3 linked regions of the Diceros bicornis minor genome follow. The protein of the gene in region 2 purifies or fractionates together with the protein of the main gene of each other region. This does not show direct contact. Links are inferred from orthologs where the notes say so. Each region holds a gene or a part of one and is shown on either strand. Other genes may lie near its edges. The genes, in order: UBXN8, TBC1D15 and UBAC2.

Region 1 (10,443 bases), on a different chromosome or scaffold from region 2:
TTAAAAGATTTCTAACACTCACAAATGTTTACTTATCAAAAAAAAACAAAACAAAAATAAGAACAAGCATGGTTTCCTAAAATTAAGCTCACTTAACTGTACTTAAGAGACAAGTTTGTAAATAAAAACTGCCAGAATGGAATGAAAAATAAATTAGGTTAAAAAGCCTTTAGAGATGAATGGTGGATACATTTACCATTTGTAGAACAGTTTATAAGCTGTTCATATCAAATAGCAGTTAAGCTGTACAAACAATTTAAAATTAGAGAATTTGCATTGTCTCAACTTAGAAACAATATAGTTTCAAATACATATATGAAGAAAATGTACACGTTCTCACAAAAATGTTGGGATTTATAGTCCATTCAAAATCATGACTAAAGTTGTAATGATTACTCTACCTTGAAATTACATAGCACAAACTAATGGTAAAATGGTTCTTATTGTGCAAAGTTCTAGAATAAAAAAAGGAAAGAAATTTCAGTAGGAAAGTATAAAAGGGTAGCATAAACAATAAACTTACCTTTCAGATAAACTGGGGAAGATTTAAATGAGTTAAGCCATGAGGTAGTCAGAGAAATAATTAAAGTAAGAAGAGCAAGCAGTAAGAAAATCCGGCCACACAGCAAAATTAGATCTTTAATTCCTGATAAAGGTAAAAAAATAAAAATTACAATTAAAATTCAAAACACTCTTCTTGATACTAATAATAAACACATTAGAAGATTATTTGTACTAGAAAAGTACAGTTAAAAGTTGAGTCATGCAACTGTATTACTATTTTTCATATAGGCTCCTTTGGGTGCCAAAATTCATCTTGGTTGTCATTACCAGAACAAGTTTTCAGAAATTCTAGAACATCTTCTGTCTCACGTACATAGATAAAATTCAAGTGCCTGGCTACATTATAAATATTATGACTGTCAATAATGCATAAATTCTGGTTTCCCTTCTGCCCAGATAAGGAAATAAAATTATCCACATAATTAGGAATTAAATTGTGACGGTATCATCTTGTCAAATTCTAATTCTATTTAAAAACAGTCATTCCCACTGAAACACTAAATTCTTACTTCTCACAGTTAAATTATGCAACTGTATACTTCTCTATTTCTCAATATTTATTTGGTCATTTGTAAGTAAAATTACTATATACATGTTTGCCTAGGAAAAAAGTAAAAATTCAGTATTTGGTTTTATATTAAGAACAAAGATGAAAATTAAATCAGCAAAAACGTAACAAGTACCTGCTTTGTGCAATACAATTTGCTAAATGGTGAAGGAGGGGATATACAAGTTCAATTAAAAATGGTTTCTATCAGGAATTTTTACTCTTGCTTTGTAATTCTCAAAAGTTACGAGGCAGAGGTGCACAGGAACCATCTTACCAATGTGATTGGGGCTGGTACTTAGTCAATTAACTAAAAATTAAAGAAGGAATTATATATACAGACTTAAATATTTCATTTTTAACTGAAAACTGATAAGTATGCTATCCTTTTTTTAAAGCAATTTAAAGTTGTTTAGAGAAGAAATGCCAGCCCTGGTGGTCTAGTGGTTAAGACTGGTCCTCTCACCACTTTAGCCTGGGTTCGTTTCCTGGTCAGGGAACCACCTCACCCATCTGTCATTTGCCATACTGTGGTGGCTGTGTGTTGCTGTGATGCTGAAAGCTATGCCACTGGGATTTCAAATACCAGCAGGGTCACCCATGGTGGACAGGTTTCCGCGGAGCTTCCAGACTAAGACAGACTAGGAAGAAGGATCTGGCCACCCATGGCCATGAAAACCCTAAGGATAGCAGCGGAGCATTGTCTGATACAGTGCCGGAAGGTGAGAGGATGGTGCAAAAAGACAGGACAGGGTTCAGCTCTGCTGTATAGACTTACTAGGAGTCAGAATCGATTCGACGGCACTAACAACAAAAAGAGAAGGAATGATGTTTTTTTTGTGTTACAGCCCCTCTAATTTTTGCCAGCATTAACTACTGATTCAGGTGTTGTTCAATACAACACAATTAAATCTAGAGTTACTCTGGCCATTACAAAGGTAATTTTAATACCTGGAGTACTGGTATTTAGAGAAACCATTGAGTTATGGGATTCATGTTCCATAATATTGCTTTTTGTTCTAACAAACAAGCAATTTGCAAATGTCAGATGGGAATATAAAAGAACTAGATTTGTGTGTACACCTTTCAAATACAGTCATGTGCTGCATACGATGTTTTGGTCAACAACCGATCACATATATGACAGTAGTCCCATAAGACTAGTACCATATAGCCTAGATGTGTAGAGGCTATACCACCTAGGTTTGTGTAAGTACACTCTGTGATGTTGGCACAACAACAAAATCGCCTAACGACACATTTCTCAGAACGTATCCCTGCCGTTAAGCAATGCATGACTGTAAAAAATTTTTAAGTTGACTTGTGTGTGTGTGTGTGTGTGTGAGAGGAAGATTAGCCCTGAGCTAACATCCGTTGCCAATCCTCCTCTTTTTTGCTGAGGAAGACTGGCCCTGGGCTAACATCCATGTCCATCCTCCTCTACTTTATAGAGGAGGCCGCCACAGCATGGCTTGACAAGCGGTGCATTGGTGCGCACCCAAGATCCGAACCTGTGAACCCCGGGCCGCCGAAGCAGAGCGCGTGAACTTAACTGCTATGCCACTGGGCCGGCCCCTTAAGTTTTTTTTTGTACCTATTCTCAAGAGCCCACGTGCAGGGTTCTTCAAAGGATAACAAATGTTGAGGAACCAGCATTAAAATATTTAGCTTAAGTACGAGTAAAAATGTATTGGCAATGAAGGCTTTTACACAGCAGAAAAATATAGCGATTATTTTTCAATATATGTCCAAAAACACAGCCCAGGTGAAAGAACAGGTCTGGGAATTCCATTTTCCCCTCTGGGAATTCAATTAGCAGCTCTAGCTGAGAATATTAGTATCTATAAATACTGTTCCACACAAAACTAGCCCTGCAGCTGTTGCACTGGAATGTATGATTTGTAAAATAGACTTAAATACTGTTACCAGATATTTGCAGCACCAACATCAAGAAACCACAGTAAATAACCACCAGTTACAACTGAGAGACAATTCTAGGAGAAAGGAGTTAACTAAGTGAAAATTTCAGGAACTAGATGGAGATGCTGCCAGGAGCCCAGTTCCATTTTCTAGAATTTTTGGCCTACTTTTATTAAATTAAACATTGTGATAAGTGATGGGAATACAAAAACAAACTAGATGTGGTCTCTGCTCTCAAGAAGCGTATTTCCCTGTGGTCAGAGCTGATCGTGGTAACAGATCTCCTTCCTCAACCTTCAGTAACCACCTTCTCATTGACTAGTGACTCAAATATTAGTGCAAAGTAGAAGATTCTCGATGAGCAGAGTAAGGGTGGATGCCATAAAGGCAGGAGAGCAGGTAAATTCTGGAATAAGTGTGAAATTAACATTTCTGTATATCATTTGGATAAAGGTCTTGTTAGATTCCAATACAGCTTGAGTAAGTAGGAGGCTTCTGGAGGGTCTTTGTAGATTTTTTAAAAAGCATTTTATTTTAGTTTCTTATTTCAAGCAACATTTCTGGGTACCTGACTTCTTGGGTGTGGGGAGGGAGGTGGAGAGAGAAAGAGAGGAAATATACAAAACTAAGTTTCATCATGGTCTCTAACTTGAGAACTGAGCTCAATGAGGGAGACAAACATGTAAACTGATCCCTAGTATGTCCAATAACGAACTGATTCTCCACAGGTCCACCATTTTCCTTTAGTTTTCCCCTTATCACTGGCACTACCAACTACTTAGGGTTGTTCAACCCCACATGTAGGAGTCATCCTTGAATGCCTCTTTTCCCTCACCCCAAACATTAATCCATCAAAAAATCCTGTTGATTCTACTTTGTAAATATCCCAAACCTGTGCACATTTCATCTCCTCTGATATCATCCTAGTCTAGCCATCATCATTACTTGCCTACTTCAAAGCCTAACTTGCCTCATTGCTTCCACTATAGCTTCCTTCCAAAACATTCTCCACACCCATTCCGGTGACCTCTTTAAACCTTAGGTAAGTCACTTCACCTCCCTATGTCTCAGCTTCCTCAACTGTAAAATGGGGATTATAACAGTACCCACCCCGATGGTTGTAACGCAGATTAGATGAGATAATGAATAAACAGCACTTAAGAGTTTGGCTTATAATAGGTGCTCAATGAATGTTATTATCTTGAGCCACTCTCCCTCTAAATCTCCTTGGTCCAGTCACAACGGTCTTCATCTTTTTCCTCCAACATGTCATAATTCCTTTTGTCTGTCATGTCCCCCTCCCCATCCCGCTTTTCAAAGGGGTGGCTCTTTTTCATCATTTGAATCTTTGCTTAAATTCCTCAGAAGGCCTACATCACATCACTCTGTTGGTTTCCTTTTGAGCTCTCAACACAAGTAGTGGCTATGTTTGTTCCTCCGCTTTCTGCCTCTGTCCCCTTACACGCAACACTTCACCAGGTCAGGAGGCACACTTTCTCCGCCGAGTGGAGTCGGCCTCCGCGAGGCTGCGGGAGACTCGCTCCCGGAGGGACCCGGAAGCCGGCAGAGGGAGACAGCGCGACGCAGCCTGGGAATCGTAGTCACAGCCGCCCAGAGGCGACGCGGCTGGGAGACGGCAATTCCTCGCAACCGTCATCGGACAGTTACTCGATGCTGAGCGCCAAGAGGAGAAAGCCAACACTTACCGAGATCCGGGATCCCACGCCGCAGCTCCAGACACAAGAGCGGGAGAGCAGAGAGGAGAACAACACCAACAACCCCCCGAAACGCCATGGTGGCGGGAGCCCCGCCCCCGGGCGGAAAGCCCGCCTCTTCCGGTGGCACCTTCCCTTGGACGGTGGAGTGGAACCCTTCCTGAGGGAGGAATGTGGAGACCGACCCTGAGGTTGGGTCGTTGGTCGGCCCTGCCTGTTTGTGAACTCATCCACAGCCTTATGTCAGAAGAAGCACACGTCACATGGTGTCCAGGGGAGACGGCCCCACTGGCGCCCGCCTGGCCCAGTCCTCTGACAGCGAAGCGCGGGCTCTAGCGAGGCGGCTCCCTGAGGCAAGGCCGGCAGCGCCTGCCCCTTCGGCCGTGAGACTGTTGGAGGCTGTGCGAAAGCTCTCAAGAGTAAAATGAACTGGAAGAGAAAGTGTACGGGCAGTTGACGCTGTGAGGAGGCAGCCTGGCCTCTTGGCCTTGTGTCCGTAGAGGGTGATTGTGGGCTTTGGGGTCCGATCTACTAAGCACCACTCTTCTGAAGCACCTTATCTCCCTCACGGTTCCTGGCCCCTTCCAGGGTCTCTGGTTCCTGTGGGAAGACGATTCAAAAGTGAGCCCTGGCACCCAGTTCCAGATCCTGGAGACCCGCCACCCCTTGCTCCGCTCCTTGTCAGTTTTGCCAACAGGTGTTATTCTGTGACGTCATTGCCATCCCCTGACTCACCTCTATGGCGCTTCTGCCAACCCGCAACTCAATTAAGCTACGGAAGTCCTCGCAATTTATAAGATTTCATGCTTTGAAATCTTGTTTTCTGACCCATCCTTCAATCCTCCCACCTCATGCTTCAATTTAGTTCAACTAACATTTATTGAGCCTCACAATTTGCCTGGTACTGCAGAACTCATGGAGATTCAAGTACGTGTGAGTTACTGAATTTGTCCTCAGGAAACTCAGTTTAGTGGGAAAGACAGCCCTGTAAACAGATAAATACAGTGTCTGAGTGCTATGACAGGGATACGCACAGGGTGCTACCCAATCCTACCCTGAGGACATGGCGGAAGGCTTTCCCAAAGGAAATCATGCCTAAATGGTGTTGTAGAGGTGAGGAAGGGGGGTGGGGGGAGAGGACAATAGGAAGAGTGGGATTTTAAGTTTAGGAAACAATGCAGAGGAACTACCAGCCGTTCAAATATTGCAGTTTAAAGTTTGAATGGAGGCCCCCAGAAGTAGGTTGGAGCTAGCACGACAGAAGACTGTGCTTTGTATATAGGCTAAGAACTTTATTCTGGGAGTGAAGGTGCAAAATATGAGGGCACAATCTCAAAATCAATCGGGATGAAGTAATATAAATTATAATATGACATACCAATTAAATAATTAGCTATGTTGACTCATTCAGAGGTTCTCATTTGTTGCCTGCATGAACACAGGAAAGAAAGGAAGTTCTACAGCTCTCACTGTCCTCATGTTGGTATGATTTCCTCCTTTAGGTATTTCTTCCTCTCTGGCTTTCTATATTCCTAATTTAATCTGTCAATGGCACCAGTGAAATCTCTGTCAGAACAATAAAGTGGAGACTCCCAAGTACTCTAGATTTGCTTGGAGTCTTACACATTTCCCAAACTTTGTTGATGGTGAAATCTCTTCACTGCAATTGTGTACTGCTCACTCCTCCCAAAAGATCACTAGAATAACCTGTTCTGAGTTGTTGACCTTAAAAATAAGTCAGTTATTTTACCAGCAAAAGTGGGTTTATTATGGAACAGCAAAGAATTGCAATTCTAGCTGGGCAATCTACAGTGAACCACAAGCAAGTCTGGAGAACAAAGGAGAGGAACATTCTATTATAGAGGAGAAGGTGGCTTTTGATTGGCTGAGTCGTGACAATCTCTCATTGGCTGAGCTGTTGCTGGGCAAGGAGAGAATCTTCCTTCCTCCTTCTAGTAGAGTAGAGTAGTATCACTTCCTGCAGGAGATGCAAGGTACCTATCTTCCTGTTGGGGTCTGTACTGATGATGAGTCGTAAATGTGTGAGAGCTTTCCTTGATCCATTTTATTTATTTATTTATTCATTCATTCATTCATTCATTCATTCATTGGTGAGGAAGATTGGCCCTAAACTAACTTCTATTGCCAATCTTCCTCTTTTTGCTTGAGGAAGAGTGGCCCTGAACTAACATCTGTGCCAATCTTCCTCTACTTTATATATAGGATGCCACCACAGCATGGCTTGATGAGCAGTGTGTAGGTCCACACCTGGGATCTGAACCGGTGAACCCTGGGCCACTGAAGCAGAGCACAGGAACTTAACCACTATGCCACTGGGCTGGCACCATCCTCACTCCATTTTAAATGAGGTTTCTGTTTATTATTTTTCACAGAGTAAAACCAAGTTTCTCACTTACTGCATTTAGGGAGAACACTATTTTGAGATAATCTTAGTCGTGTTTCACAGGGGTGGTCAAGGGTGATTTTTATAGGGTTTTTGGAGTCTAGATTGGAGTAGTTTAAGGTGGCCTTTTCCATGCAGGGATCTCATTGGGATTGGATATGGTGCATGGTCTAGTAGTTTAGGACTGGTGCACCCAGCAAGATGAGAGACTTGAAGGCAGATTTGCCCCCTTTTTTGATAAGGAAGGGGATTTGTCCAGTTGAGTGATCAATGCAATTTCTCAGTCTCTGAGAGGGAAGCTTTTTACCCAGATGAGCAACCTATTGTTCAAATAAATGGATTTTCAGGGAGTTTCTAAAGCTAACAGTGAAATTATGTACTGATTTACAGCCTATCTTTGTGGGCAAGAATTTTTCTGGAACAAATAGTCAAGTCATGTTGACTGATGTAAGGTCTTAGTTCTTAGCAGTGCTAATTAAGCTATGGGCTACAGATGTCTCAGTTCTCACAATAAAATCTTATGAACACCGTTGAGTACGGTATAAGACAGGGGTTTTTATATCTAGATAGTTTATATTAAACCATTCTCTATTAACATTCTTTTTTGTGTGTGTGTGAGGAAGATCAGCCCTGTGCTAACATCTGCCAATCCCCCTCTTTTTTTGCTGAGGAAGACTGGCCCTGAGCTAACATCCGTGCTGATCTTCCTCCACTTTATGTGGGATGCCGCCACAGCATGGCCTGACAAGCGGTGCATCAGTGCGTGATGGGCATCCGAACCTGGGCCGCCAGCAGTGGAGTGCGCGCACTTAACTGCTACGCCACAGGGCCGGCCCCCTATTAACATTCTTAAAACACAAATGTCACATTTTTCTTATTTAACAAGTGATGCAACCTGTTTTCTTTATGTGTAAAAAAATAGGATTGTCAACACATTTTAAAATTACTTATAATCATATTTGGTTGGGGAGGGGCAAATGTTTATTAAAATGTAGCCTCAATTGTAAGTATTAAGTGTATCCAAGCTGCTTTTGTGACCTAACATTTGGAATTTTTGCATTTAAAAAAATCAACTAGTTAATTTTTGTCAATATTTTATTATGAAATTTTTCAGACATAAAAGTTGAAAAAATTTTACAGTGGGTATCCATATACCCACCATATTTTATTATATTTAATCACATATCTATCAATCTATCCATTCATCAATCTATCTTTTTTTGATGGATTACAAAGCTGCAGACATTAGTACACTTCTCCCAAATACTTCAGCATGCATATCATTAACTATATCATATGCATATGCATACTTCTTACGATATGCATACTTCAGCATGCATATCATTAACCACAATGAAATACACATCTTAACTGTACCATTCCTTGAGTTCCAATATAAGCATTGTTGAAAGATAAACTGAGGCATATTAAAAGTGTTAAAAGTTTATTTGAGCAAAAATCAGTTCAAATCAGGCAGCATCCAATCTAGCAGATAGAAAGGAGCTTTGTGGAGCTGTACAAATGAAAGACTTTTATAGCCAGAAGGGAGCAGGAACAAGGAAGTTATATTAGCCCAAAAAGCGGGTTGGTTATTGCACGATTACTTTCCTTTAGGCGATGGCAGGGGTCTATCAGACAGATTACCTAACTAGTGCTGATCAGGTGGTTCCATTTCTGGGAGAGCTGAAACTGTATTGTCTCGGTTTGATGACACGGGGCTTAGCATAAGTGACTCCATTTTGGGCCTGTTGTCTTGTTTTTCTAACAGCATACACTAGTGCAACACATTTCACTATCAAAATACAAAACTTTGCCCAGAAGGTAACCATTGTTTACTTTGATTAGCTTTGCCTCTTCTAGGACTTCTATATAAAAGGAATTATACAAAATCTACCCTTTGGATTTGATTTTGTTCACACAGCATTTTTTTAAACTTTTATTTTGAGATAATTATAGGTTCACATAGAGTTATAAGAAATATGACAGAAAGATCACATACATTTTTTACCCAGTTTCCCCCAATGGTAAATTTGAGCATGACCAAAGTACAATATCATAAACAGAAAATTCATATTGACACAATCCACCAAACTTATTCAGATTTTACCTGTTTACTTATATTCATTTGTATGTGTGTATTTAGTTCTATGCAATAGTATCACCTGGGTTGATTTGAGTGACCATTACCAGTCAAGGTACAGAAGAGTTCCATCACAAGAGCCTCTCGTTCTACCCTTTTATAGCCATGGTCGCCTCACTTTCTGTCCTTCACCACCACCAAACCCCAGGCAACCACTAATCTGTTCTCTATCTATTTAATTTTGTCATTTCAAGAATATTATGTAAGTGGGATCATACAGCATGTAACCTTTTGAGATTGGCTTTTTTTTTACTCAGTATAGTCTCCTTGAGATCCAAACAAGTTGTGTATATCAGTATTCATTCCTTTTTAATGCTGGATAATATTCCTTGGTATGAATGTATCATAGTTAGACTAACCATTCACCTGTGAAGGACATCAGGTTTCGCTATTATGAATAAAGCTGTGATGAACATTTGTTTATACGTTTTTTTTTAAAGCTTCAGTGCATGGTTGTGTATCCTAGTTGTTAGTTTAGTTCTCTATGTGAGCCACAGGATGACAACTGACAGATGGGTGGTGTGGTTCCATGACCGGGAAATGAACCCAGGCTTCAGCAGTGAGAGCACTGAATCTTAACCATTAGACCACCAGGGCTGGCTCTACAAGTCCTTGTGTGAACTTAAGTTTTCATTTAACTTAACTTCATTTAACTAGGATAAAATGCCCAAGAGTGCAATTGCTGAGTCATCTGCTAAACACACCTTTAGTTTTGTAAGAAAATGCCATATTTATTTTTCAGAGTGGCTATATCATCTTATATTCCCACCAGCAATGTATGAGTGATTCAGTTTCTCCACATCCTTGCCCACATTTGGTATTGTCACTATATTTCATTTTAGCTATTCTGGTGGATATGTAGTGATTTCTCATAGTAGCTTTAATTTGTGTTTCCCTGGTGACTAATGACATTGAGGACTTTTTTGTGTGCTTATTGACCATTTATTTATCTTCCTTTTCAAAGTGTCTATTCAAATCTTTTTAATTGTGTTGTTTCTCTTTCGCATTAATGAGTTGTAGGAGCCTTGATACTGATATCAAACCTGAAGTGAGTTTGCTCACCTGTCACGCAGCAAGCCAACCTCTGACAATGGGTGTAGTCTAAGAAAGTAGGAATTTTATTGCAAAGCGCTGAGCAAGGAGAATGGGCAGC
Region 2 (10,358 bases):
CTCTAACAGGAAATAGCTGAGTTCCCAATTGTTTCAAGTTATTGTCAACAGAGCCAAATTCTAATATAATCATAATAAAAACAAAGACCTAGAGTGAAATGCAAGTGTACTAAAATAGGACTTTTTAACTCCAAAACAAGAGTGCTTTAATGAACCCCTCTCTCTCACTCCAGTCCCCCTCATTTTCTCTACCTTTTTGCTCATTCCTCTTCACTGAATATCAACTATGTGCCAGAACCTATGCTAGATGCAGGTGAAACATTTCAGGCCCTGACCTCACAATGATGAGTCAGTCTACAGGTCTTCAGAACACAATCACTAAAAATATCACCCACTTCAAGGACTTGAAACTCATATTGCATTTCTTATTCAGTCAAGGTAAAGGGGTGATTGTTGGTGCATGTTTTCCTTCTGAAGAAATGAAGTCTACACACTTCAAGGTAAAGGGCTATTTAATGTATCCCCAATGCCTAATACAGCACCTGGAAAAAACTAGATGCCTAATAAATATTTGTTGAATAAGTGAATGAAAGTAAACTGTAACCATTATCAGGGGCACTGGGTATAAGGCTAAAACCTCCTCTCTCCCACCTTCTCTAATTGGTAAATTCAACTCATTCTATTAACTCAACTCTGTTCACCCGTTAGAGAAAAAGTAGAATGGCCTTTACAGGCAGTGTCCCTATTTCTCCCCCAGTATTCACAAGAGGATGTCACTCTTTCCCCTGTTTGATTGAGTATGAAAACATATGGTTCTACACATATATAGCAACAAAGAACAGCTGAACTCTAAGAACTAATTAAGGTTTATAATCAAACTCAAACTCACTTTCAAAAGCTCAGCTAAAAAAACAATATACATGCAAAACTGAGTCCATCACACATGTCAACAAAAATCTACCCCTGAATTTAGTCAAAGCATCAGAGAACTGAATATATCAAATTGGTACCCCGTATTTACTGAACTACTGAACTACCCACTGGCATAAAACCATCAGCATACTAAGGGGCATTATAGGGTACTTTTTTTTATCAGAAGGATACAATATGCCACATAATCAGATTCACTATATTATACACTATAAAGAAACTACAGGACTTTACTCTTTGATGTAATCTTCAGAAACTAGTCTTTTGGGTTTCTGCTTTTGGTTTTACTTTCCCGTGGATCCTATAATGCTTATAATTGATCAAGTTCCCCTCTTTACTTTGGCTGCTAGAAAACTTAGAGCCAAACCGTAGCTCACTAAAGCATACAGTTTATTTAATAATTGTACTTCCAATTCCTTCTACCTTTCCTACCTTTATTTACTTTCCGTTTGCTTCCTTTTTCCCCCTAATTCATTTTACATGACTATACTGCTTTTATATTTGTGGGCAGCCTTAATCTCTTTGTGGAAAAAGGCAGCAAAAATAAACATCCAACTATTTCCAAACGAATCATAACCTTAAATCTTAAGACAGTCTGAAAGACCTTCCTCAACAACAGTAATAATAACAGCTAACATTTATTGAGCACTTACTTGACACAAGGCACTATTCTAAACTTTGCAAATATTAACTCATTTAATCCTTTCTACAACTCCATGATGGAAATATAATCATCATCCCCTATTTTACAAATGAGAAAATTGGAGCATGGGGACATTAAGAAATCTGTCAGAAGTAACACAGTTATAAAGAAGCAGAGCTAGGGTTTGAACCCGGGCAATGAGGCTCCATCTCCTTAACCACTGCCCTATTGTGATGATTTTGCAGTCATCAAAACTACATGACTTCTAGCCAGCTTGGTGGCCCCGGTTTGTTGCCCGGTCACAGAACCACACCACCCATCTGTCAGTTGCCATGCTGTAGCAGCGGCTCACACAGAAGACCTAGAAGGACTTACAACTAGGAAGACTGCCAACAGATGTTAGCTCAGGACAAATCTTTCCCTGCAAAAAAAAACAAACAACTGCATGACTTCTAAAACAAGGCATTTTTCAATTCTTAAAATAACAATGAGAATTAAAACTAGAAGCAACCTCAAAAATAAATTTCACACCCATACTAAAAACTGCATTCTAAATCTTGAAAATTCTGCCATACCCAACGAATGATTTGCATGGAATTTAAGATGATGAATAACACCTACACAGCATCTGTTATGTGCCAGGCTTTGTTCTAATATATTTACTTATTAATCCTCCCAACAATCCCATGAAGTAGGTATTATAATCATCCCCACATTACAGATAAGGAGACTGAAGCACAGATAGGTTAAGTAATTTGACTGAAGTCACTAGTAAGTGTCAAGTTAGTTTTTGAAACCAGTTTAGCTCCAGAGTCCAAGCTCTTAAATCTTTCCCTGCTTCTCCCTATGACAGAGATTAACTTCCTCCTTCCATCACTTCCTACACTCAGAGTTCAAAGTAAGCAAAGAAGACTTACTAGAAAAATTACCCTAAATCCTAGATCTTAACAGTGAGAAAGAGATTCTAATTCAACAGAGCTGGGTTGTGGCCCAGCATCAGTATTTTTTAAAAGTACCACATATGATCCTTGTGAGCCTTGGTTAACATCCACTGCCCTACATTTCTAAACTAGACAGGTCTTAGCTGAACCTTTAGGGGGGAAATAAATAAATACAGACACACTCTGAAATATATAGATTCTTCCCTGTTCCCCATTCCCAAAGAAATAAGACTGGGAAGCCGGGAAGCAGAGGATAAAGCCAGAAAGGTAACATGGCTTTTTATGTCATGTTAACCAGCCCCGAATATTATTTCCATGGTAAGAGTAATAATATAAAGATTTTTTGTTTGTTTTTTCAAAGCAAGAGACAATCAGATTTATGCATTAAAAAAATAACTAGTGGTGGTGTAGAGAGGACTGTGGGCAGAGACTGGAGACAAGGGGAAAAATCAGCCAAGAACTCAAGATTAGAGGCTGACTAAAGGCCTGAATAAACTAAGCATTAAAGAGGATGCTGCAAATTTAAGAAAACTCTTTAAGGTTAAACTGGTAGGACCTGGTTATTGATTAGATGTTATTATAGAAACGCACGTCTCTAAATTTGTTTTACAAGCAACCAAATGAATGATGAGGCCATTAAACTAGATCTGAACTTACAGAGGGAAGAATAAGTAGGTTTTGGTGTTCATGATAGTATTGTCTGGAAGAAGGACAGCTTTTGGCATGGAAAAATAGTTTACATGGAGTGATAGAAATGGTTGTGAATTTGCAATTAGTGAGAATAAATGAGGTGATGAAGCAGAGTTATGAAATAAAAGACTAATTTTAAGTCAGATTATGAAAGGTAGTGGCTTGAAGCAAAGGGTGAAAGAAGTCTTACATTTCACAACTCTGTGTCATCACCTTAAGAGTTCTTTCAAAATCAACCCACATCTGAAAATGGGAAGTGTAGTTCAAATGGAAAGGATCCATTCTTGCAAAGACATGGATTGGATCAGTCAAGATGGAATATCAAACAGGATAACCTTCAAATATGTAGTGAGTCAAGCAGACAATCAGCATCCACTCTCAACACCAAAACTGACAAGACAACCAAAGAGCGTGAATAACCCCAAAACGATGACCAACCTATTATTTCAAATACCGAGCATGTAGAAGTATGTAATCTTTTTTTGATGCTTTTATTATTTCATGTAATCGTAACAACTCAAATCCAAGACATAATGACTGGCATCCCCTCCATTCTGGAGATAAAGAATATGAAGGACAAAGAAGTCATGCTTCTCAATTTCCCAAGGTTACATGTCAGACTCACAGCAACACAAAGACCAACTGTTATTTTGCCGCCTAGTCTAGTGGTCTATACACCAAACCACAAAACGATGTCAAATAATTCAAAACGGGATAGGGAGAGGAGTATGGAGAAAATAAGTGCAACTCAAGGAATAGAGGGAGTACTACGACAAGGAAATAGTCCTTAGCGTTGAATGAGTCATTACCAGACGCCACTGTTTAGGAAGTACTCCCGCAATGGGAAATGCTACCAGTGGCATGTCACGACAGTCCTAGACAACGGGCATTAAGATGTGCCCTCGGAAGGGTAACAGGCACTGTACAACGAAACCTCCTCCGCCCCTAATCCTAGTTCCTAGCGAACCGGAAGGGGGATCACTGCCCACTTCCGTAAGACAGCACCACAGACACTGCCGCAGGAACATCAGAGAAACATTTAGGAAATAAGTACCTTAACTAACGCTTCCTAGACACGCGTGGGATGGTGTAAATCTCCAACTCCCTGAGTGGAAACATGCCCTCCTGCTAACAACCAACAACCGACTCGGCAGTCTGGCCACATGGCTCCAACACACTCTTCTAAGCGCACAACTGCGGAGCACCTGTTTTCAACCCTCATCAGAGGGAAGCAGAGGAAGGCAGGGCAAGTTAGATTACCCTCAAAGGAACAGGGAAAAGACGAAGGAGTCCGAAGAGCAGACAAAATAACTCGAGTCAGAAACGGTGAGCCAGAAAAAGAAAAGAGCTAAGCCACCACTCGCCCTCAGGAAAGGTCTCAGCACAGCAGCAGCCACCGCCCCGCGCAGGGCGGCCAGGCCCGCGCCGAGGCCGGCTGGGGGCGCAGGAGCCGGCTCTCTACCCTCGGGCCGAGCCGGCGCCCCCGGGAGAACGGCTGACCCCACCAAGTCCTCTTCTCCCGCATCCGCCGCAGGCTGCTCCTGATACGGAAAGGCCCCCGCCGCGGCCTCCAAGCAGCAAAAGCACCCCCATCCCAGGGAAAAGCAGAGGTGGCCCTGGGCCGTTACTCACCTTCCCGCTCACAACACCCGCTGCCGCCATGTTTCCTGCGCGTGCCTGTGATGACGTAGCAGCGCCTCACGTGTCTGTTGGACTCACAACAACATCCGGTGAAACTGAGCTGACATCCGGGCGGGAACGGGGCGGGCAGTGGCGGGAAGGCGCCAGGGAAGGGGCGGGGCGGGAGGAGGGCCTGGCGCATGCGTGCTGAGTGGGCTCGGAGGCCTCTGGGGTAGAGGCTCTGACGCATACTGCGCGTGTGCCAATTTATTTTTCCTAGGCGGGCCCCGCCTGAGTTGGCGTGTGTTTGCCCTGGGGCTTGCCAGGGGGCGAGATTTGTTGTTGGCAGGCCGCTTCAGTTCAGCATGAGGGAAACACCGTATTAGGAGCTAGCAAACCTGGTCCTGGCTTTGCGGCCACAGGCAAATCACTTCCACCTTCAGCCTGGTTCTCCTCTGTAGAATTGGGATCGTGGGGCCGCGGTGAAGATTTAGGGAATCCCAGCCCTCCATCAGAGGCACAAACGCGCAGAGACCTTTCCCGTCTGTCACTCGCTGAGTGCCCCTCACACGTGACCCTCAGCGTGGTGTTTTGGCAGGAACTGATAATACCACGCCCTCGCTGCCTAGCTCATAGCTCTTGCAGTTACTTAATAACTGTGTGGCTGAAAACAAGTTTAAATTCACGCAAGCTTTCAGGACGTAAAATGAGAATTACCCATAGAGTGGTTGTAGTGATCTTATGGGACAATGATGTGAGGTTAGATGATTTGTTGAGATATCAAGATATTACCTTGCTTTGTTCTCAGCGCTGTAAAAGAATGTCAGAGAATGGTTGGATACAACCCTAGCTCTGGCACAAGATCTGGGACTTTCCTTGCCCCAGGGCAAAATAAAAGTCCCTTTTGTACCCCAACACCTGTGCCCATTGAGGTACTTCTCTCATCACAGAGTGGAGAGAGATTAGAGGCTTCTGAGGTTGGTTAAGTGGCAACCAAAGAGAATAACAGAAAAAAAGGGTTGCATGTTCTGTGAATATTGGGAACGTCACGGGTGAGAGAGGTGGCAGGACCTTAGATGGGAATGAATGTGTAGCACCGTTAGGGAAGCTGCGCACTAGGCGTGAGAGATCCCAACCATGGCCAAGACCGCAGGCCTGAACTTGACATTGAATCAGCAAAGCAGTTCACCTGCAAGGGATAAATGAGCTGGGAAATGACTGTATTAGTGGGAACCAGCATTGAGTGAAGACTTGAAGGTCTTCCCTAAATGGACTGGACTGAGGAAGACCCCTAGAACCTTCACACAATCCTGGGTGTGGTGTATAAAGCCCTAATAACCCAGATTAAATTTTCCACCAGCTCAGAGTAATGGGTTGTGGTTAGAGAAAATTTTTAGTGTGACATTTATTACACCAGTGTTCTGGAGAAAAGTTGAAGCCCTTACCACAGTGTCAGGAATAGAACACTCAATAAATGGTAGCTAGTATTTGTATAAGTTTGGGAATTAAAGGCTTCTCATTGAAAATTTGGCATCCTACATTCATCAGCTACTTCCTGATCTTCTCAAGCCTCACCCTCCAACTGCCCCTTAAATGCTGGTGCTACCCATGGGCAATCCTTGGGCTTCTTTTACTTTTTTTCCAAACACATTCCTGAGCCATTATCTTCATATTCTGGCATCACCACCTGCTATGTGCTAATGACTCTCAAATAGCTCCAGGCTGAGTCTCTCTTTCTTTCCTAAACTCTAGAGCCTACACCTACTGCCTGCTGGACGGTGTTACTTGACCCACTCACAACTCAAAAAATCCTAAACCTTCACTACTCAAAATGTAGCCTGCAGACACGTAGCACCAGCATCACCTGGGAGTGTGTTAGAAATGCAGAATCTCGGGTCCCACCCCAAAACTACTGAACCAAAATCTGCACTGTAACAAGATCCCCAAGTGATTTGTGTGCACATTAAATTTTGAGAAGCACAGCCTTAAATGAAACTTAAATTTTGCTTTTGTTCTCTGAAAATTACTGGCATTTGCTGAACTAGAAATGCAGTCAGAGCGCAATTTCTCCAGGAAATGGTTGCTATTATGTTACCCCTTTCTGATATGTCTTCTGGAGAGCTCATGGGAGATATCCCCACTATGTCTCTCCTCCATGTCCCCACTACCACTTCCGTGGTTCAGGTCTCTCATTACCTCTGGTTTGGACAACTACTGTGGCATTGTAATTCATTCCCTTGCTTTCTACTTCATCTACCTCCTAACCCATTTTTCATATCCCTGCTGTATTGATCTTTCTAAAACATAAATGTGATCCTGTGAACTCCCTGCTTAAAATCCCTTAATGGCTCCCCATCTCTTGAAGAAAAAGTCCAAATTCTCCAGCATAGCATACAAGGTCCTTCATAAACTGTTCCTGCCTACCATTTTAGCTTTATCTCCCAACTTTCCCCACTCAGACCCAGTTCTCCAGCCATAGCCGAATATCTGCTGTTCCCTGAATGTGCCGTGCTGCATCCCAAGATTGCTTCTGACTGAGGCAGATTGACTTGGCCTGCATCATGGGACCATTCCTGAGCCAATCCCGTGGCCCGAAGGATGTGATGTTCTGATTGGCCTGATTTGAATCATATGCCCACAGCTCCGTTCAAAGTACGTGGAATGAGAGGAAGAGTATTTCCCAGAGAAAAATCCCGGAACCATTCCAGAAAAAAAGGAAGTAGCTGTTGAGCAAGCCAAAGCAGACATCAATTACAGAGGCTCCATTTCTGCACGCCCAGGGTATCATAGTGTAAAATACTTGGTGATTTACTGAACTGCTTTCAAGGCAGGGAGGGTGCTTTTCATTTCTGTGACCACCAAACCTAGCACAAATGCCTGATGCATAGTAGACACTAGATAAGGGTTTGTTTAACAAATTAATTTAAATCAACTCCACATTTAGAAATGGCACAGTTATACTTTACATTCAAGAGGAAAGAGACCATTTTCCTTCTTTAGTTATATTCTCTGTCTATATGCAAAGGAAGGAACTAGGTCAGGATTTCAACATAGTTTGTTTCATATTTTAGTTTTTTACTATATTAGAAAGAAAAAAATCATAGTGCACTTACGTATAACAAGGGGACAAGTTTTTTAAAGCCGTGTGCCTATAAATTTAATGTAAATAAAGTCATCAAGTTCCCTATAACTTAAATTACTGTTTTCATGAGAGTGGTTTTATAGTTTCTAAGTTCACTCCCATGAACTACATAGTTATTCACTAATTAGAACATCACTGAAAAAGTCATATGATGCAAAAGAATCTTAATAAGTACCTTAAAGAAACTTTAGACTCAGGCGGGACTTGAGAGATAGTCTCCCCAGGTTTTTCGGTTGAAGAAATTGAGTCTGTTAGACATTAATGATTTGCCAAAGTCATGAGCTGCTTTATGGCTAAATAGAGACTTCATTACAGATACGTGTCTTAGTCAGCTGTGCTACACTATCAGCTGAAAGTGATCACGCCCATCTCTAAACTACAGCGATTAATTACCTGTTCAATCTGATTCTGTCCACCTCAGTTTCTGATTGACCTATTTGTCTTTCAAGATTTATGATGACGTCACACATCATCTATTAAGATTCCCCCAACTTTACCACTACTCATTGATCTCTACCTTTCCTGACCTCTTGAACAGTCAGACTAAAAACTTTGTTTCAGTGCCTAACTATACAAAATAGTAGCATGAAGATAGCATATGCTTTGCTGACAGCCAGGAGACTGCAGGATTTCTCTCTGGATAAATTGACAACAGAAGAAATCAGACCTATAGGTACTGACAGTTGGGGATCTCCATTGAAATGACCCAACCACATCATCCTACAGTGAAGAACAGAAATCAATAAACTCCACCTATATCTCTAAAACTTCCAATCAGCTTTTGGTTCTGGTCTCTTAAATATGAAGAGCTAACCATGGGTCACTCCACATTTGAAGAAAACTTGCAAGCTGAAAGGCAAAGACCAAAATGAACAAACTAACAAAAAAGCAATTGAAGACAAACAAACAATGCAGAGAACAGAATAAAACTTTTTAAGTCTAAAAAATACCTTTATAGAAATGAGAGAAGATTTTGCGTCCATAAAACAAGAATAAAAGGCCATGTAAAGGAATATTCAGAAAGCCAAAATGAGGCCTAAGAAATTAAAAATATGATAACAAATGAAAAAAAATCCATAAATGGATTGGAAGATAAGCTGAGGAAATGTCCCAGAAATTAAAACAAAAAGACAAAACCATGGAAATAAGAGAGAAAAGTTAAGAAATTAGCGCATTAGAACAGGATATCGAATATCCAAATAAAGGAGAGAGAGCAGAGAATATTGAGGAAAGGAAATGATTAAACAAATAATTCCAAAAAATTTCCCAGAACTGTCAGCCATGCATTTTCAAATTGAATCAGCCCACCAAGTGCCCAGCAGAGTAGATGAAAAGGACCAGCAACAAGGGAAATAATTGTGAAATTTCAGAACAATGGAAATTGAAAGAAGGTTATAAAAATTTTCAGAGGAAAAAAACCAACATGTTATATGAAAAGGACAAGAATAAAGATCTCTTTGAACTTGACAGTAGAAACACTGGAAACTGTAAGACAATGTAGTAAAGCCTTTGAAAATATTTTTAACCTAGAATGTCATACCTAACCAAATACTCAATCAAGTGTGAAAGTAAAACAATTCATTTTCAGACACACAAGTTCAAAAAAATTGTGATCTTTTATGCACCCTTTCTCAGGAAGCAACTGGAGGCTGTGTGACACCAAAACGAGACAGTTAATTATGAGAGGGCAACATATTGAATCTAGAAAATGGGAAAAAAACACAGGGGATACAATGCAAAAGAGAATCTTGAGGGCATTCCTGGTGGGACTGTGAAATGGTGCAGCCACTGTGGAAAACAGTATGGCAATTCCTGAAAAAACTAAGCAGAATTACCATATGATCCAGCAATTTCACTTCTAGGTATATATCCAAAAGAATTTAAAGCAGAGACAGATATTTGCACACCAATGTTCACAGCAACATCATTCACAATAGCCAAAAGGTTAAAATAACCCAAAAATCCATCACAGCTGAGTGGATAAACAAAATACATAAAATGGAGTATTATTCAGCCTTAAAAAGAAATGAAATTCTGATACATGCTACAACATGGATGAACCTTGAAAATATTATGCCAAGTGAAATAAGCCAGATACAAAATGGCAAATATTGTATGATTCTACTTATTGAGGCACCTAAAACAGTCAAATTCATAGAGACAGAGAGTAGAATAGTGGTCTAGGGTCACGGAGGGGTGGTGGAGAATAGGAATCATTGTCTAAGTTTCAGTTTGGGATGATGAAAAAGTCTGGAAATGGGTAGTGGTGATGTTTGCACAAAAATGTGAATGTACTTAATGCCACTGAATTGTACACTTAAAAACGGCTGAAATAGGGGCCAGCCCAGTGGTGCAGCAGTTAAGTGCACACGCTCCACTTCGGCAGCATGGGCTTCCCAGGTTAGGATCCCAGGTGTGCACAGACACACTGCTTGTCAAGCCATGCTGTGGC
Region 3 (10,693 bases), on a different chromosome or scaffold from region 2:
TCCAACTGTACTTTACAGACCCCTCAACTTCAAACATGTCCAAAATTGAACTCGTCTTCCCCCAAAATGAGCTCCTTCTCTGCATTCCCTATCTTAGTGAATGGTAACACCATCTGTCTACCCAGAGTCACCTTCAACTCCTCTTTCTCCCTCACAATCCAATAAGCTTTATTGACACCACCTACCTGCTTACACATCTTTAGAATCTTTCTTCTCTATCCTTTCCATTCTCACTGCTACTACCCTAATCAGGGCCTTCAGCATCTCCTCGCTAGACTCTGTTCTCTCTGCCACTCTGCTGGCCACCGTCTTGCCTTGATCTAAATCTGTCTGTCCATTAGAATCTCCTAGGGATGCTCTTAAAATTCAGACTTCTGATGCCTACATTAGCCCTTCTGAATCTGACTCTCTGGGCATGGCAGCCAGGAATCTGGACATTCAGAAAGCTGCATGGTTGATTTTCTGCCAGGATGCAGGCAGCATTTGGAAAACACTGCTCTCATCACCAACAATAATCTCCCATCTTCCCTCCCAGGGAAAGGTGAAGCATTCCCGATTTGTGCTCTAGATCATCACCTGCTGCATCTCAGGAATTTGCTCTATCATTCATTCCAGTCTGTACTCCTGAGGAGGAGGAGCCTTGGCCACTCCTCAGTCTTCCTTTCAGGCTCCTCCTCTTCTCCCTCTTCAGGTTCTGTCCCCAGTTCTCCTCTCACCTGCCCTCTGAATGACTTCATTGCACATCTCTTAGGAACTGCTCACTCCAGCCATCATCAACAATCCTCTAAGTCATTACCTCCTGCCTCTCTGCCAGGCCCCGCCTAGGCTCTGTCCTTGACAGAGGCTCTCTCTCCACTTGCATGTCTGACAAACTCTTATCACTCAAACATCCACTCAAACATCACCTACATTGAAAGGTCTTTAACAACTGTGACTCTACCCCCACTAGCCCACCCCCTTCAATAAACCCATGGCACCAAGTACAGAAGTTGTTTAATTTCTTTTTAAAAATTTTCCCCTCTAGGGGCCGGCCCAGTGGCACAAGCAGTTACGTGCACACACTCCACTGCAGTGGCCCGGGGTTTGCCGGTTCGGATCCCAGGCACGCACCAACACACTGCTTGTCGAGCCATGCTGTGGCGGCGTCCCATATAAAATAGAGGAAGATGGGCATGGACGTTAGCCCAGGGCCAGTCTTCCTCAGCAAAAAGAGGGGGATTGGCAGATGTTAGCTCAGGGCTGGTCTTCCTCACAAAAAAAAAAAATTTTCCCCTCTAGACACTGAACTCCTTAGGGTGGGAACTATACCTGTAATACATTAGACATGCAATTATTGTTGGTTGCTTGGTTGCGTCCATCGTTACACAGTGAATATATTGTGAAGTGAACAAGTATTGGGAACACCTACTAACAAATGTAATAAATATACATCTATTATTCAACACATAGCTAGCACTGGTAGCACTGGTCTATAAGCAAGGAATCTAAAATAAGTCTTGAACATGATTCCTTTGCACTTTTATCCAGTCACAATCGCATGACTGGGCAGACCGCAAGACAGTTTCAAACACATGGTCACAAATGCTCTTCCCTTGATTTATGACACCAGCTTTCTTTAGAACTTTGAAGACGCCCTGCTGTGCCTGTTTCAGAGTCTTTGTGCTTGCTGTTCCATTTCTGCAAAATGCACATTTTTCAACAAACTCTGACATCCCTGCCTCCTTCACACCATTTGGATCTCAGCTCAAATGTCACCTTCTCAGATATCTTCCCTGACTACAATGGCAGTGGTCCACCACAACCTCAGTCTATGTCACCACCCTCTTATTCTCTTCATAACACTTATCACTATGTGAAATCACATTATCTGTTAACTTATTTGATGTTGATCTCCTTTTTCCTGTTTACCACTTTATCCTCTGTACACGAACAGTGTGTGGCTTATATGGGTACTCAACAGACACTTGTTGAATGAATAAATGAATGAGAGAGAGAGGAAAGCAGAGTGCAACACTAAAACACCATTATCTACCAGTCACGAACTGTGGGAAATACGCAGGTGGTAGGAAATGGCAGAGATTTTTCCCTCGAAAAGACAATGTCATTCACCATTCACGTGGGCAGAGGTAGGCAGAATTATTCTTCCTCAGAAGACTTACTCAGGACCAGAACTTTGACTTACTAAAGAGCCACACTTCTTATCTAAAGGAAATCACTTCCCTCTCAGTGCGTAGCCTTGCAAAGAAAATTTTAAAACAAGATAACTGCTCACCCCTAGACTTACCAAAAGACCAGTCCAGGGAAAACTGTGCCTAAACTCCACCATAAGCACTGTAAACACTGGACCAAGACTTGTTCAACATTGTGCTCCCAGCACCTAGCACAGATGCTCAATTGATGCTCAAAATGTCTGTTAAATGGGCACATAAGACACGGCCTTCTGAGGGCTGGTCATCCCATCAACTCTTATGCTGCAGATACACTTTAGAAACAGGGCAAAACAGCTGAGGAGGAGCTCTTGGCCCAGGCCCTCTCCCTGGGCAGCAGTTTGGTTCCTAGATTTCAATATTCATCCACCCTGTGCCATAGGGAATAAAGTATTACCTTCCCCAGAGTCACCCTGTCTCAAATTTGAATAACCTTTGCCAATATAACGGCAAATAACGGCATAGTAACCAATAACAGATTTCTCTTGCCTTTGTAACTTATGTATGTTGGTCAGCAAGGAAGGATAGCTCAAAATGCTGAAAGACCAACTTAAACTGAAGGATTCCACCATTAATTCCATATCCACCAGCAAATGCTTCACTGTGTGATCCCAGGAAAACCACACCACCTTCTTGACATCAGTTTCAGCAGTTATAATGTTCTTTATCCAAAGGGTAGTTTGGGGAAGACTAATTAGCTAGTAGTTGTAACCTACTCTGAGGCCAACGCTTGAAAGATGCCATAAATCAAATTAATTATGAAACAAGGGAAATCATGAATAGTAAACCCACTTCAAAACCCGGGAAGTTGAGAAATGAGGAAGATTTAAAATTATGCCTATGGATCTATACTAACTCACTCTGAGACGAAGACATGTATTCTCAGAAAAAGGTTACTAACATTCACAACAGATCTTTAATATTTGGAAATGTCAACTGCTTCTGTACTTGGGCAAGGTTAACTTCACATGTATAGAGATATGAAGTACTAACAGTGACAAGCAATTGCAAAATCAGAGCTGTTCAAACAGTCCACTGTTGCTGTGTCAGTGCCTCATCTCACTGCTGGTTAGTTAACACACAGTCACCTCACCAAAAGCCAAACAATTTCAATGAGAAAAATAAAGCTGTTTAAAAGGCTATAATACTTCTCTGCCCTCTATCTGCTGACCACCGCTGACACTCAAGTAAAACATCATAGCAGCAACGTCCCCACTTTCTTGCCAAACAACTTCCTTCCACTTTAAAGTACCTTAATCAGTCTTTCTTTGTCTAAAAACTCTTAAGTGGGCCTGAGAAAGAAAGAAATCTAAGTAAAACTGAGGGGTCAGCTCCTGAAGCAGGGGTCGGGACTTGCATCTGGGGGAGAGCCAGCTCGGTCCTCTGTAGCCTAAATGAATGGAGTAAGGGAGCAAGAGCAGGGGGCAGGCGTCCAGCATCGCCTCCACCGGGACAGCCTCTCTTTTCCGCCTGGCACACGCGCCGCCGAGGGCAAGGGGCCGGGTCAGAACACCAGGGCACCCAGCCCGGCCCTAACTGCCCAGTCCACTGGAGCACCTGAGCATCGCACCTGGGGCTCATAGGTGGGGGCCGGGGCTGGCGGCGGGACTCAGTCCCCCCTGGCCCCTCCAGGCTGAGGTGGGGGCGGTGCCTGCTGCCCCTGACGGGCAGGAACCACCAAGGCTCGGGAGCGAGGATGGAGCATCGCCCCCAAATCCTCCTGTAACCCCGAGAGTCCCCGCCGCCCCCAGCCTCCTCAAGGAGGTGCGCAGGGTGGCGTGTAGGGGACAGCCAGGATGGCGGTGGCCGGTACTCACAAAACCCACTGGAGCCGGTGCTGGTGAACATGGTCCCGCCGGACCCGGAGCCCCGTGGGGGGACAGGGGAGGGGAAGCGGAGGTGGAGGGACCTGGCGACTGCGCAGGCGCACAGCCGGCGGGACGGCGAATCCGGAGACTCTATTCCATTCCAGAGGCCGCCTGTGAACGGCGCATGCGCGGCCCGTGGGGCACAGGGCTCTGTCCGCGGCTCCCTTCCTGCCGGGAGAGGGAGGTGCGTCCACAGCGGGAAGAGTCCGCCTCTCCAGGTTTTCCCGACGGCCGCGGGTGCCCTCGGGAAAAAGAATGGCACGGCGTGGGAGGAGCGGGGGTGTAACTCCCGTGAGGCGCACACTGGTGCTGAACGCCCCCCACACGCCCTGTGCAGCCGCGATGGCAGCGGATTCCTCTGGAATGCCGGCGCGGGGACATTCCTCACGACTTCTAACCTCTCCCCGGACGGGATGCCCGGCGCCTTCCACGCATGCTCAGTCTTTCTGGGCCGTCCCCGGGAGCTCGCTCCCCAGCAGATTGTTGATAAACTGTCTCGAGTTCCGGTGTCCAGTCAAGGGCGAGAAGCCGCTGTGGGGATGAAAGGGGAGCCAGAGCTGGGCGACCCTCCCCGTCGCGGAGAGTGGGGTGGTCCAGCTGCCCCGTTTTCCCATGTTGGTCCCACGCGGAATCCCCACAAAAAGCGCCGAGAGTCATGGTTCCGGGACCCCAACCCCTCCTCACTGCGGTGTCGGGGGTCCCAGGCGTGGCGAGTCTGTGGGGAGCGACCCTGCTCCCCAAACTTCTGCGCCCGGGCCATTTATGTTTTCCCCTTTGAGAAATGAAATTACTATTTGCTAAAAGCAAAGTCATGATTTTTTAAATGAGTTTGAGCCTGAAAACTTTACGTTTTATGTTACGCAGTCGTTAAAGAATACGTATTATGGGGAAGTTGAACAACTACAAGGCTAAATGAAAAGGACAGGCTACAAAATTATGGACAGCATACTTTTTTTAAAAAAAGACGTTTTGAGTGCTTTTAAGGGCCAGGCACTGTGCTAAATCTGGAGTTTGTCGATCAGTAGAACACAGTCTCTGCCCTTAAGAAGGGGTGCCAGTGGGCAGAATTATTAACACTGATCATTTCTACAAGACAAGAGTATATGTGCCTTTTATTTTCTGTAGGCTTTTCTTTACTCGTAAAGTTTATGATCTTGAAAGACATTTTACATTTAACGTTAGATTCATTCAACTGAGTCATTTTGCAATGAAACGATACTTTAAAGGTCCTTTGATACTTTAAATGTCGTTTATGTTTGCAGAAGCTGTTGGTTGGCTACAAAACCTGTGAACAGTGGTTCTCAAAGTAGGTGTGGGACCTCCCACCCATTTAGGGAATCCAAAAGGCCAATTTATTTTCATAATGATAATAAGACATTATTTGTCTTTTTTACTCTTATTCACTCCAGAGTATACAGTGGCGTTTTCCACTGTACAGTTGGAAGGGTTGCATAACTTAGTGAACCAATACTTTCCAGTTGACCAAAGCGTGATGTTACAAAATCATGCATGAGTAGAAAAGATCAATTCAAACTGTAAGATAAACCAACAAGTTTTAGTGTAACAGTACAAAAAGTTCATTGATATGGTTTCAGAGTCCTCATTGCAACTAATCTTTAAGGAACTACCACTTCTTAAGTTATGGTGTAGTGTCAAAAAAGAACAGCCATATTACCTGAAAAGACTATTAAATGCTTCCTTTACCAACTACATATCTGTGCGAGGATGGATTTTCTTCATATACTTCAACAAGAACAGTGTATCACAACAAACCGAAAGCAGAGGCAGATCTGAGGATCCAGTCAGACGTTCAAGACGTTTGCAAAAATGTGAAATAATGCTATTTTTCCCCATAATTTTTTGCCTGGGAAAGCACGGTGATTTTTCATAAAAATACGTTCATTATGTTAACATGTAGTGGGTATGTTACTGTTATTTTTAAATGAATTTCATAATTTTTTTTAATTTCTCAATTTTAATTTCTAATATGGTAAATACAGATAGATATAAACCCACATTAACAAAAGCTTTTGCAGTTCTCAATTATTTTTAAGAGTGTTAAGGGATCCCAAGACCAAAAAGTTTGAGAACTGCTGAAATAGGAGATAAAGCACTCTGAAGCTTAAAAAAACAAAGACAAAAACAAACCCTTCACTTATTTATGTTCAATTCTACAAACATTCTTTACAACTAAATGCCTGATAACTTAATATGGGATGTCGACCTTGCTTAAAAGTATTTTCAGTGACCCATACCTTGAATGTACATCTGCTCTGCACTGAGGACCTGTACATGTTGACTGTAGAAGTCTGTGGGTTTGTCTTCCAAGAAGCAAGTGTTGCTGTTGGATGGGCAGCGTCAGCCTCACCTAGGATCTTGTTTGGACTAGAGTTCCAGGCCCTACCCCAAACCTGTTAAAGCAACATTTAATAAGACCCCAGGTGACTTGTATGCACATTAAAGTCTGAGAAGCTCTATTGGTTCTCAACAGGGGGCCATTTGGGCCTCCAGGGGACACTTGTTAATACCTGGAGACATTTTTGGTGTTACAATTGGGAGAGGAGTCGCTACTGGCATCTGACAGGCAGAGGCCAGGGATGCTGCTAAACATTCTACCATACACAGGGCAGCCTCCCACAATAAAGAATTCTCTTGCCCAAAATGTCAGTAGTACAGAGATTGAGAAACCCTACACTAGTGTAATTCATCCAATCTTTATCATGCAGTCCCAGACTCTTAGTGTATATCATTTCTATTGTCCTTGCCTATGCTTCCACCTGTCTCTTCTCTAGATTGTATTATGGGAAACTCATTGTGTCAATTACTAGGAATCACTGTTTGCCTTACTAAGTCTTGTTGAACTTACTAAGTCATGTTGAATCTGCTTTCTACACTGGGGTAATAGTGATAAGCTTGAAAGGGTGAGCCCTACCAGGCAGGAATGTGTTTTACAAAGTGTTGTATCCTACCCAGTTTGAGTCTCTTGGTGTGAAGTCATTGTCTTCCTTTAATAAATTAAAACACAGCATCTCTAAGGTATTTAACATCAGAAAGAAAATCTGCAGGTGAGTCCTGGGGGAAAGTTGCTGACAAAACATCCCTGATAAGTGCCCCTTCCCGTGTATTTCACCCTGCCTTTAGCATAGCGTTCCTTTCATATAGCAGAGATAGACTGAAAGTTTTCCTAAAGATTACTAAATAGTAGAGGGGGCCAACAACAGCAACAAAAATAAGAATCACAAACTTCTAAAGTATCAAGTTCTGAACAGATGACAGCTACTGTGACTGGAACTGCTGGGCCATATCCTATTCCATATTCTGGCAGGGGAGTCCCTTTCTAAATTCCCAGGGATTCTAGTCAGCAACCTTTGGGAGGAATTAGTAGATATTGACTAGGACTGATGGTCAATCCTTGGATAAAGTAGCCTTCATACTGCTTCAAACGAACTTTCAGTATATAATATCTATGAAATTAATATTTATGAGAAAATAGGTCTGGAAGCTTTTTAAAGAGTAGTTACATCTTTCTCGTGATTCATAATAGATGTTTACTGCGCAGGGAGCATTTTGAAAATTCATAAGGGTATTTTCGATGGTCACAATGAATTGGGAGATGCCACATGGGGTGTGGCGATGCCAGACACGATCTTTTCACAAAAAAACAAATTGTTCTCTTTCCTAACTAACTTTTGACTCTCCCACTTCATGCTTCTTAGGTAAGTAAAAGCGTGTTTGTATTTATTTGAGTCTAGGACCAATTTCATTTTACATGTAAACATGTGTTCTTTGCAGAGTTTTAATTCATGCTGAATTTTCCAGGAAAGCAACTTATACTGTTTTGGCTGTTATTTGGAACTTAATGAAGAGCTGTTCACTAATTCAAAACACCACACCACCTACAACGACCCTGTTCATTGCATTTGAGTCACCAGTATCAGTTTACATTTATGGCTGGTGCATTCTTAGTGATTTTTTATCTTTCACAAAGATGTACAAATTTAGCCCTTATTTTAAAAAATACATGTAATTTTAAATATTAAGAAAAGGTATTGAGAATATTCAGTTGAATATATGAAAGAGTCCATATTGACATAGTTTTTTTCTAATTCATCTAGATGAACCCACCAAGATTAAGTGAATACCTTATAAAGATAGACAGAGTTGGCAAAGATAGAAACTTCAGCGATTTAAGGAAAGTTTGAAAACATAGTATTGTCTCTGAAATTTTTTTTAATCTAATCTAAAGGACATAAGGTACCATTTCTTATAGAATAGCACAAATGATAGCAATGTTTGTTAATCCAAACAATATAGGAAAAAAGTTAATTTTATCGTCTGTATAAGAGGTTATTATTATGAGAGTAAGAAATTTAAATGATTTCTTCTATTCTGTTGAGCAATAATGTTTTATGTAGAAGGATCTATGAGGAATACAAAGAGGTAGAAAATGGGCTATGAAATGATCTAAAGTTGGGAAAATGTTTGCTGCAAGTGAATGCAAGTAACCTGTATGATAACATATATTATCATATGTATGTTTCAGGCTTTGCTGACCACAGATGTAAGCTTCAGGGAAATAAAAACATTGAGCAGAAAATTCATTTCCATATATACAAACAATGGATACTAAGAGTTGTCAATATTTGAAGTTCTTAAAAACTATTTCAAAAGAAAACCTTTTTCCTTTTCCAACGTCATTGTGCACCAGATGGAGCAGCCACTGTGGTCAGCTTGTAACAGGGATTTGTAAACAACTTAAAAGTAGCAACAGCCGTGTTAGCAGGTTATTGAGTTTTTCATCCATGACCTCAGTCACCAAAAATCTTAGTGAAAGACCCGCAAATCAATGAATGTTATCAGTGCTAGTAATAAAATTAGTGCCTTGAATAAGAGATTATTTTGTAGTCTTTGCAATGACTGTGAAAAGAGTTTGTCTTATCCTACATATGGAAAGAAGATGGTATTCCAAACAAAATTGTTTTAAAATATTTTATTTATTCTTTAACACTAATGTGCAGTTTTTCTTTCTTTCAACAATGAAAAATTAAATAATGGTATCAAAATATTATGAAATGATTTGACATATATTTCATATGTATCAGAAATGTTAAATGAAGTCAAACTGCAAGGAAATGAGATTGATATTACTAAAGAGGAAGGAACTGTCATGAGATTTTTCAACAAATTTACATCATTTTAAGAGAAGATTTTTTTTTTGGTTTTTTTTTTTAATTTTTTGTTTATTGCAGTAACGTTGGTTTATGACATTCTAAAAATTTCAGGTGTACATCATTGTACTTCTATTTCTGCATAGATTACATCATGTTCACCACCAAAATACTAATTACAACCGATCACCACACACATGTACCGAATTAGCCCTGTCACCCTCCTCCCTCCCCCCTTCCCTTCTGGTAACCACCAATCCAATCTCTGTCCCTATGTGTTTGTTTATTGTTGTTATTATCTACTACTTAATGAAGGAAATCATACGGTATTTGACCTTCTCCCTCTGACTTATTTCACTTTGCATTATACCCTCAATGTCCATAAGAGAAGATTTCTTGCCCAGAATTTTCGCAATTCCATTATCTGTAGCAGATATAACTCAGTCTAAGGATACTGGTTTGGGATTATATTGCTAACTTTGGTTCTATTTAAAAACATAAGGATTAGATCTAAAGATCAGTATGGATTTATGATATCGGATTAGGTGATTAATCCACTTGAAAATGATGCAACATATTAGCCAGTGTTTGCAGGAAGTGTTAATTGAGCTAAAAAATGATTTGGGGGACAAAAGAATCTAGTTATAAGAAGTTTTTGATTCCGCTAAGACTTTCATTTGCCCTTCTTTAAAATGGGAGCCACGATATTTATTATAGGATTTTCAACCGCATATTTAGGTGAAGAAGGTTTCAGTGCACTGGAGCAGTTCCTGTAAAAGCAACAAAATGTAACAGAACATTTGAGATTTCTTTTAGCAGAATTAGAACTTCATTAAATTTCATCAATCAAATTTTTAAAAATATTTCAGACTATCACCAACTGTTTTAGTTTGGGTCTCCCCCAAAGCGGACTCTGAGACAAAGTTTCAAGTTCAAAGTTTGAAGTTTGTCTGGGAACGGTCCTAGGAAAGACCACTGGGAGAACGGGAAGCGAGACAGGGCAGGGAAGGATGGAAGCTGATGGAGGTGAATTATCAGACAAATCAGCACTGGACAGCTGGAGCCAGCGCCACGGGGTCATTCCCCCGGAGAGGGAGGCAGCCAGGGTGTCTATCCACTGCCGCCCATCAGTCACTGAGGGCTACCCCTAAAGGTGCAGTTCCCCAGCACTTCGGGCCCTCACACGAGTGGGCAGAGGCTGTAGCGGGCAGGGCAAGCCCTCAGGCTAAGAGCTGCTGTCGGGAAGCATGCTCTGACACGGTTAAGGCTCAGGGGATAGGAGAGGGTGCTGACAGATTCGCCTGCGCCCTCCTGCTATGGTGTTCATAGCATGCTGGTAAAAAAGCTATGCTAAGAAAATGACATATGGAAATTATGATGTGGGGTTTTTTTAGGGAAGTGAAGAGGTTGGTTTGCCTTTTTTTTTTTTTCAGTCTTCCTCCAGTACCCA

Evidence for each region.
Region 1: the proteins of TBC1D15 (region 2) and UBXN8 purify together in Homo sapiens (affinity purification with mass spectrometry; 3 studies listed by BioGRID and IntAct, counting the BioPlex papers as one, with this or other methods). This does not show direct contact. The link is inferred for Diceros bicornis minor from reciprocal best matches to the Homo sapiens genes TBC1D15 and UBXN8.
Region 3: the proteins of TBC1D15 (region 2) and UBAC2 purify together in Homo sapiens (affinity purification with mass spectrometry; 3 studies listed by BioGRID and IntAct, counting the BioPlex papers as one, with this or other methods). This does not show direct contact. The link is inferred for Diceros bicornis minor from reciprocal best matches to the Homo sapiens genes TBC1D15 and UBAC2.

Annotation. Positions count from the first base shown.
Region 1 is NC_080768.1:28,409,335-28,419,777, reverse strand, and holds the start of UBXN8 (UBX domain-containing protein 8), read right to left. Parts: upstream 4,864-10,443; 5' UTR 4,826-4,863; coding exon 4,738-4,825; intron 647-4,737; coding exon 524-646; intron 1-523. UniProt on the Homo sapiens protein: Involved in endoplasmic reticulum-associated degradation (ERAD) for misfolded lumenal proteins, possibly by tethering VCP to the endoplasmic reticulum membrane. May play a role in reproduction.
Region 2 is NC_080764.1:46,924,158-46,934,515, forward strand, and holds the start of TBC1D15 (TBC1 domain family member 15), read right to left. Parts: upstream 4,856-10,358; 5' UTR 4,807-4,855; coding exon 4,777-4,806; intron 1-4,776. UniProt on the Homo sapiens protein: Acts as a GTPase activating protein for RAB7A. Does not act on RAB4, RAB5 or RAB6.
Region 3 is NC_080748.1:75,200,603-75,211,295, reverse strand, and holds the start of UBAC2 (ubiquitin-associated domain-containing protein 2), read right to left. Parts: upstream 4,485-10,693; 5' UTR 4,056-4,484; coding exon 4,025-4,055; intron 1-4,024. UniProt on the Homo sapiens protein: Restricts trafficking of FAF2 from the endoplasmic reticulum to lipid droplets.